Linked DNA regions of Macaca fascicularis. The protein of the gene in region 1 interacts with the protein of each later gene in a biochemical or structural test. Links are inferred from orthologs where the notes say so. Each region holds a gene or a part of one and is shown on either strand. Other genes may lie near its edges.

Region 1 (3,820 bases):
ATCTTAGCAGGCCAGGGATGAAAAAGAGGTGAAATGTCTGCAGCCTATTTCTGATTATCTTCAAACTGATAACTCATAAAGGAATCCCATTTTTGTTGCTGTAGTATCAGTCACAAGTTCCTTGTTTTAATTAAAGTTTCATGATTAATGTCAAATCCCTGGTTTCATACCAGCATTTTCCAACAGTCTTGTCTCTGGGCAGATTAATTTATGACTTTTTAAGTGAAGATAATCAGTGCTTTAGGCAAATAAACTATTCCATCACATCTAAGGATTCTTACCTGGGCTGACTGTACAAATGGTTCAGTCTTCCCTCAAAAGAGACCCAGACAGACATGCTATGGAATGCTCATGCAGTCATCGTCATAGCCAGAGGCGATGCTGGACATTACGGTCATTTTCCTTACTGAAAATGTTTCCGACTACATTTTAGGCCATACGGAAAATGGGTGGATTTCCCTCCAAACCATATTGATGCAATTCTGAATGTTCAAAAATGCAAATTGCATCATTCCTGCGGGAGATGCAGTGGCTTCCCGGACCTTCTTTTCCTTCCATGAGTGTCTTTGTGAACGTTCAGCCGTGTTGTGTATGTTGATGGAAAGGGCTGAGCAATACATACTGTCGCCAAATGATTTTCTTATTGATAAGTGGAGCAATATATTTTGTTTTATTACTCAATTGTCTCTTCCCCTCTTCCATTTTCAAGGCAAAAAAATTAGGGCATGTCTTCCTTTCTGGCACAGAACTGTTTTACTTCATCATAGCCAATCTTACTGTAAATTCATAAAACCATCTAGAGACTTGATAGTAAATTAAAGATGTTTCAAAACAACAATGTTTCCTGGAAATCATGCGCAACCCTGTTGCAGAAGTGGTAAGAATTTGAAATTTCCATATGACTCTGATTTACTTCCCTATCCTGGGGCGACAGAAAGCAAGTTAAGTGGGTTACCCTGGCCTTTGGTGAAGGTAAATGTTTAAGAAAATAGGGCTTACTCTACAGACTTCCGGACTCTCCCTCCAGTCTCGATGAGCAGGTATCCCGGAGAGTGTAAGTTGCTGACACACACAACTCAAAAGCCAGAGCTTTAAGGGACTGCCTGTTGCATTTTTTATCATAAAGAAGTCTAGACTTAAATCTTTCATAACCAAACCCACATTGTAATCCATTACATGTCCTTCATATTAGCTAGCGCTTCTGGCATTATGGTGGCAGCTGTGTAAAATATTTGCTGTGCTTGTTTAGAATTGAATTGTAATGTTCTAAAGCGAGCAGTTATTCCTACCATGGAAGCTACCAAACCTCTACTACTTCTCTGCTTTGCCAGTGTGTCTAAATTGCAGGAGATATTGGCACCCTAAGCGGAACAGACACAACCTGCTCAGACACAGGAAGATGACTCTCTTTTTTTTTTTTTTTTTTTGAGACAGAGTCTTACGCTGTTGCCCAGGCTGGAGTGCAGTGGCGCGATCTCGGCTCACTGCAAGCTCCGCCTCCCGGGTTCCCGCCATTCTCCTGCCTCAGCCTCCTGAGTAGCTGGGACTACAGGCGCCCGCCACCGCGCCCGGCTAATTTTTTGTATTTTTAGTAGAGACGGGGTTTCACTGTGGTCTCGATCTCCTGACCTTGTGATCCGCCCTCCTCGGCCTCCCAAAGTGCTGGGATTACAGGCTTGAGCCACCGCGCCCGGCCGACTCTCTTTTTAAGTAGCTGCACAGTCTAGTTCTCTCTCCTGTTTACTCATTGTTAGTTTAGTTGTCTAAGACCATGCGCTTGCTGAGGACAGTCACTTTTGAATTCTCCAGCCGCCCCTATCACAGTGTCTGGCATGTGATGAGAGAACAGGAATATTTATTGAAACCTGAAAATGCATATTCCATCCCATCCTGCCCCCTTTCCTCCCTCTCCCTCCTTCTTCCCACCCTCACACTAACCTTTGGTTTTGCTTTCTAGGCAAAGCAGGAAAAACGCCAGCTCGGTCTCCCAGGACTCTTGGGAGCAGAACTACTCCCCCGGGGAAGGCTTCCAGAGTGCCAAAGAGAACCCCAGGTACTCCAGCTACCAAGGCTCCAGGAACGGCTACCTGGGAGGACACGGCTTCAACGCCAGGGTCATGCTGGAAACTCAGGAGCTCCTTCGCCAGGAACAGAGGCGGAAGGAGCAGCAGATGAAGAAGCAGCCTCCTTCCGAGGGGCCGAGCAACTATGACTCGTATAAGAAAGTCCAGGACCCTAGTTACGCCCCTCCCAAGGGGCCCTTCCGGCAAGATGTGCCGCCCTCCCCTTCTCAGGTTGCGAGGCTGAACAGACTTCAGACTCCTGAGAAAGGGAGGCCCTTCTACTCCTGAGCGCGCAAAGAACGGATGCTTCATGTCACGCAATAAAAGACATTTTCCTATGAAGACTTGTATTTTGGGAGTTTTTTTAAAACCTCGATGGTACTATGGAGTATTTCTGTTGTTGGTATCAGTGCCTTTAAGCGGTATAGGCAAAGAAATGGAAGGCCTTAATGTCTTTGCCACGATGTCTCAAATGTCTGTTTCATGGAAGGATTTCCCACCCTGTGACAATCATCTGTTCGAGGCGTTCACATGCTGTGCGCCTCTCCACAGTGCCGGGAGTCTCGGCCCGACTCATGCGCTGTCCGCGGCTTGGTTATAGCGTCCCTGCACCACGTGCGAGACAAATTCACCTGACGCGGAGGATGACGCGCGGCCCTGTTTCTCCCTCTCAGTTCTCTGAGCTGTGAGATGACATCTCAGTCTCTGGAGGAGGAAAAGTGGGCGACATACACCAAAAAATGGGGCTTTCTGGTACTTCACAGCACAGCCGTTTGTCATACTTTGTCATCAGTGTGGTTTTCTCTTTCCTTTCTCAGCTCCTTGTGACGGGAGAGTCGGTCACCCTATTGCAAAGCTAAGCCATAGTCCAACATTGTTTGGTTACCATGGGGGTCCTTTTGTAACTGCCTTATAACTCAACATTACCAATAAAGCGATGATCCTAGTCTGCGTTTATACATAGGCTTGTTCGGTCCTGTTCCTGACGCGTGGGTTGAGCCACCACAGCTGTGTGTGGGGAACGTGGGAGACGGGAGTGGCTCCTGCCGGGGGAAGCTGGGCATGCCATTGGCCATGTGTCTATCAGGAGGGGAGAGCTAAGAAATAAATTCTCCTAGGAAGAGCTCATGGCCCAGTACATCCCAGTAATTATTTTCATTAGTTTTCGTTCTGACAGCTTGTCAGGAAGGGCACAGAATGGGACAGAGATAAACCAGACGGTCATTTTGATCTGCTCTCTACGGTTTTTCAAGTCAGAGGCAATTGATGCTTGTCTAATGCATCCACACGCTGCATATCTGACTGGCGATGCCACGCTCCTAAGTAATTCTGCCATGAAACATGAAAGACAAAGGAAAAGCCGTTACACATCACACAGAGAACATTTTCGGGTCCCACAGCGGCGGTGGCAGGAAGCTCACTCTCGCGTCAGTGTTTGAGTGTGTGTGTGGGTCTCGGGGACCTCGGTGGCTCCCATCGTCCTTCATCGTTCTGAACATCCTGTATTGTAAACGTGGCTGGGTTGCCAAAGTGCCTGTGAATTCCGAGGTGGAAAAAGCTGGAGGTGAAAGCTCAGTATACCATGTATTCACTTTAAAAACAGAAAAAAAGACATGTATGGATATGCCTATTTTTTTTTATTGGCACATTGTATTTTTGTGTTGACTTGTTTTTAGAAATGATGTGTCCACACACATACCTGTGTCTCTTCTACACTTCTGTGTCATGGTTCTCTTTCTTAATAATGTGCAGCCGTG
Region 2 (3,820 bases), on another chromosome or scaffold:
GTTGGATATGTATTAATGTATTTGTAGAGCAGGTCGACAAAGAAGGGATCTGAGTGAGAATATAGCATGTTGCTGAAACTTTTCTGGTTTCCCAGCATGTCCTGGGCTGGATTAAGTGCCTTTCTTGGGTACTAAGCATGAATCACCATTTACATAGCTGGTATTCAGCAACACTGAGCTGAAATGCCATTATCTTAGTTTCTTCTTCTACCAGATGGTAGACTCCTTCAAGACTGAGACTGAGAATAATAAGATACGTAATTAATCATAGCTGCCATTTGTTAAGTCCTTACTATGTCCAAGTCTGTGTGCTTTGCGTATCTTATTGCATTTGAAGACTCACAACAACTTTGTGAAATACTAGCCCATTTTACCGGTGAAAACTCAAACTTGATAACCAGGGAAATAAGCATAGTGTCACGCAGTTATTATGTGGAAGAGCTAGAAGGCTTCCAATTCATCTCTGCATTGAGCCAACATGGGACCCGTTGAAGTAATTTATGAATGAATGAATGAATAAAACTATAAAGGAGTAATTTAAATATGTTTAAAATGTTGTTACTCAGTTAAGTAAAATATAAATTCATGGAGACAATTAGAAAAACAAGTATTTTTATTGTTGTTCCTAGAGGCTATTTTAGCCTGTAAAACCCCAAAGAAGACTGTTTCCTCCAGATTAGAGTGGAAGAAACTGGGTCGGAGTGTCTCCTTTGTCTACTATCAACAGACTCTTCAAGGTAAGAAGCTGGAGGCTTGAAGAGGTGTGAGCAAGAGAATGCCAAGTACAACCAGGATCCTTTAATTGACAAATGAGATCAGGACATGACTGATTACTGAAAACGTGTTTTTGTAAGTGTGAGATGAAAGCAACCACGTCTGAGACATAAAACACAATAGCCACAAAAGCAGAGAACAGAGGGAGGTGAAGCCCACTGAATCCCTGGACTCTTCTTTCTCAATTCAGGCATAAAGGATGCAAAATGCAATTGCTCTTATTGGCTCTGTAGATTAAACTCTCTTTCTCTTTCTTTCTTTCTTTCTTTCTTTCTTTCTTTCTTTCTTTCTTTCTTTCTTTCTTTCTTTCCTTCTTTCTTTCCTTATTTCCTTCTTTCTTTCTTTCTTTTCCTTCTTTCTTTCTTCCCTTCCTTTCCTTTCTTTCTTTTCTTTTCCTTCCTTCCTTCTTTTCTTTTTTCGTTTCTTTTCTTTCTTTCTTCCCTTCCTTTCCTTTCTTCTCTCTCTCTTTCTTTCTTTCTCTCTTTCCCTTTCTTTCTTTTTCTTTTTCTTTTCTTCTTTCTTTCTTTCTTTCCTTTCTTCTTTTTCTTCCTTTCTTTCCTTTCTTCTTTTTCTTCCTTTCTTCCTTTCTTTCCTTTCTTTTTTCAAGGTCTTGTTCTCTTGCCCAGCCCAGAGTACAGTGGTATGATCATGGCTCACTGCAGTCTCCACCTCTGGAGCTCAAGTTATCCTCCCATCTCAGTCCCCAAGAAGCTGGAACTACAGGTGCACACAAGTATGCTCAGCTAATTTAATTTTTTTTTTGTAGAGATGAGGTGAGGTCTCCCTATGTTGCCCAGGCTGGTCTTGAACTCCTGGGCTCAAACCATCCTCCTGCCTCAGTCTCCAAAAATACTGAAATCACAGGTGTGAGCCACTTGCCTGGCTCCTGAGAGAAAGGAATTAAAAAATTGTGTGGTTTGGAAGTGGAAGGTTGCTTCTCAGTCATAATGCTGTCAACCTATTTCCTTAAGTCCATCTTGAAAGGCAGGCCACCACTGAGAAGCTTAGGGAGTTAAGACTTAAGAGTGGGTTGTGACAACAACCATTATCAAGTACTTTCTTTTCTTTTCTTTCTTTTGTTATACATTTCTTTCTACTACCAACTCTTGCCATTGAATATGTGATGAACTTATAATTTAAGACATTGATAATGATGGATGAAGCAAATTTCCATTTGCTTCAAAATAAACCAGTGGTTAATGATACAGATGAAACAAGATAAACCCTGCATTGATTACTATTATAGCTGGTCAATGATACATTGAGGTACAATTCACTCTACTTTCTAATGTTGTGTATGCTTGAATCTTTCCATTATAAATATTTCTAAAGCTGGAAATACAATTTTACAAGTGTAATAAACCTGTTATTATTTTAAAATACTATGTATTTCTTTAATGTTAAAGAATTAAGTGAAAATGTTTGAAGTTTGTAGAAAATTTAAAATATCCCCTCGAGTTCTTATATGTCAAGATAAAGACTACTAGCTGTAAGATGTTAATAGCACAGCTGTCTTCACTTGAATTTTCTGTAGTTGCCATTTCTGGCATGTGCACGTTATGCAAAACTATTTGAGCCACTGCACCTGCCTAATTTTTACATTTTTTAAAGAGATGAGATCTGGCCATGTTGCCAAGGCTGGCCTCAAACTTCTGTCCTCAAGTGATGCTCCTACCTCAGCTGGGACTACAGGTACAAGCCACCACACCGGGTGCAAAACACTATTTTAATTCTGAATATGTTACTATCAAAAAATAAAATAATGTTTTTAACCACCTTTTCTTGTGCCGCAGTGTTACGTGGGCCACCACACATAAAGTTACTGTTCCAGCCAATTAAACCAGACTCCCTGGTTTTCTGAAGACATGAATATTTTTACAAGGGAACTAGAAAGGGAATGAGGCAAGCATTTGAACTGAATTCTTTAAAATATAACATGGGGCTGGGCACAGTGGCTCATGTCTGTAATCCCAGCACTTTGGGAGGCCGAGGCATGCGGATCACTTGAGGCCAGGAGTTCGAGACCAGCCTGGCCAACATGGTGAAACCCCATCTCTACTAAAAATACAAAAATTAGCCAGCATGGTGGTGCACATCTGTAATCCCAGATGCCTGGGAGGCCGAGGCATGAGAATGGCTTGCAGTGAGCCAAGATCATGCCACTGCACTCCAGCCTGGGCAACAGAGCAAGACTCTGTCTCAAAAAATAAAATTTATATACATAATATGGAAGGGCCTCCGGGGCCAGGCCTGCTGGCAGCTGTTCCTCAGAGGGCCCACGCTGGAGGTGACAGCCTGCCAGGGAGCTGGGCACTTGGAGACGGGGTGGGAGCACTGGGGTCAGCCAGAAATCAAACATGTCAGTGAAGGCCCAGAGCAGCTCGGAAGATAAAATAACAGTCCACTTTATAAACCAACAGTGAAACATTCACAAACAAAGGAAACGTGGATAACTCTCTGCTAGATGTTGTGGTTGAAAATAACGTAGATATTGATGGGTTTGTTGCCTAGCAGGGAGCCTTGGCTTGCTCTGTCACCTCATTTTTGAAAAGCACATATTTGAGAGGTTAGACACAATCACTGACAATATGCTTGATCTGGCATATGGACTGACAGGTCAGAGTTGTATTGCCAAATCTGGTTGACAAAAATCTATGGGCCATATGACTGTCTGAGTACCTGATGCAGTGGCCAGTGCAAGACAATCCACTGACATGGGCAAGACCACCTAAGCTAGAATAAATAGGAATGCTTTCACTAAATTTTACCTATTTTTATAATTATGTCTTAATATAATAAAATAAAAACATGCATGAATGAACATTATTATGACCAGCTTTACTATCTTAATTCACCTTGTATAACTACTGAATTTTGTAGTTCTGAAAACATGCAATTTTTATATTTGTTAAATTAGAAAAAGGTCAGTTAAATATTAGAAAATAATTAATATGATAATACCTTACAAATTTTGCCTCACGTTTGTTTAGCAACTTTCAGCAAAATGTTTTCACATGGCCTTATGTCTGCTTACCTAGAAAGTAAA

The links.
Region 2: the proteins of PARD3 (region 1) and JAM2 form a complex in vitro, tested with the Homo sapiens proteins (2 studies listed by BioGRID and IntAct, with this or other methods). The link is inferred for Macaca fascicularis from reciprocal best matches to the Homo sapiens genes PARD3 and JAM2.

What each region holds. Positions count from the first base shown.
Region 1 is NC_088383.1:34,861,172-34,864,991, reverse strand, and holds part of PARD3 (partitioning defective 3 homolog), read left to right. Parts: intron 1-1,957; coding exon 1,958-2,351; 3' UTR 2,352-3,820. UniProt on the Homo sapiens protein: Adapter protein involved in asymmetrical cell division and cell polarization processes. Seems to play a central role in the formation of epithelial tight junctions. Targets the phosphatase PTEN to cell junctions.
Region 2 is NC_088377.1:21,348,737-21,352,556, reverse strand, and holds part of JAM2 (junctional adhesion molecule B), read left to right. Parts: intron 1-629; coding exon 630-737; intron 738-3,820. UniProt on the Homo sapiens protein: Junctional adhesion protein that mediates heterotypic cell-cell interactions with its cognate receptor JAM3 to regulate different cellular processes. Plays a role in homing and mobilization of hematopoietic stem and progenitor cells within the bone marrow.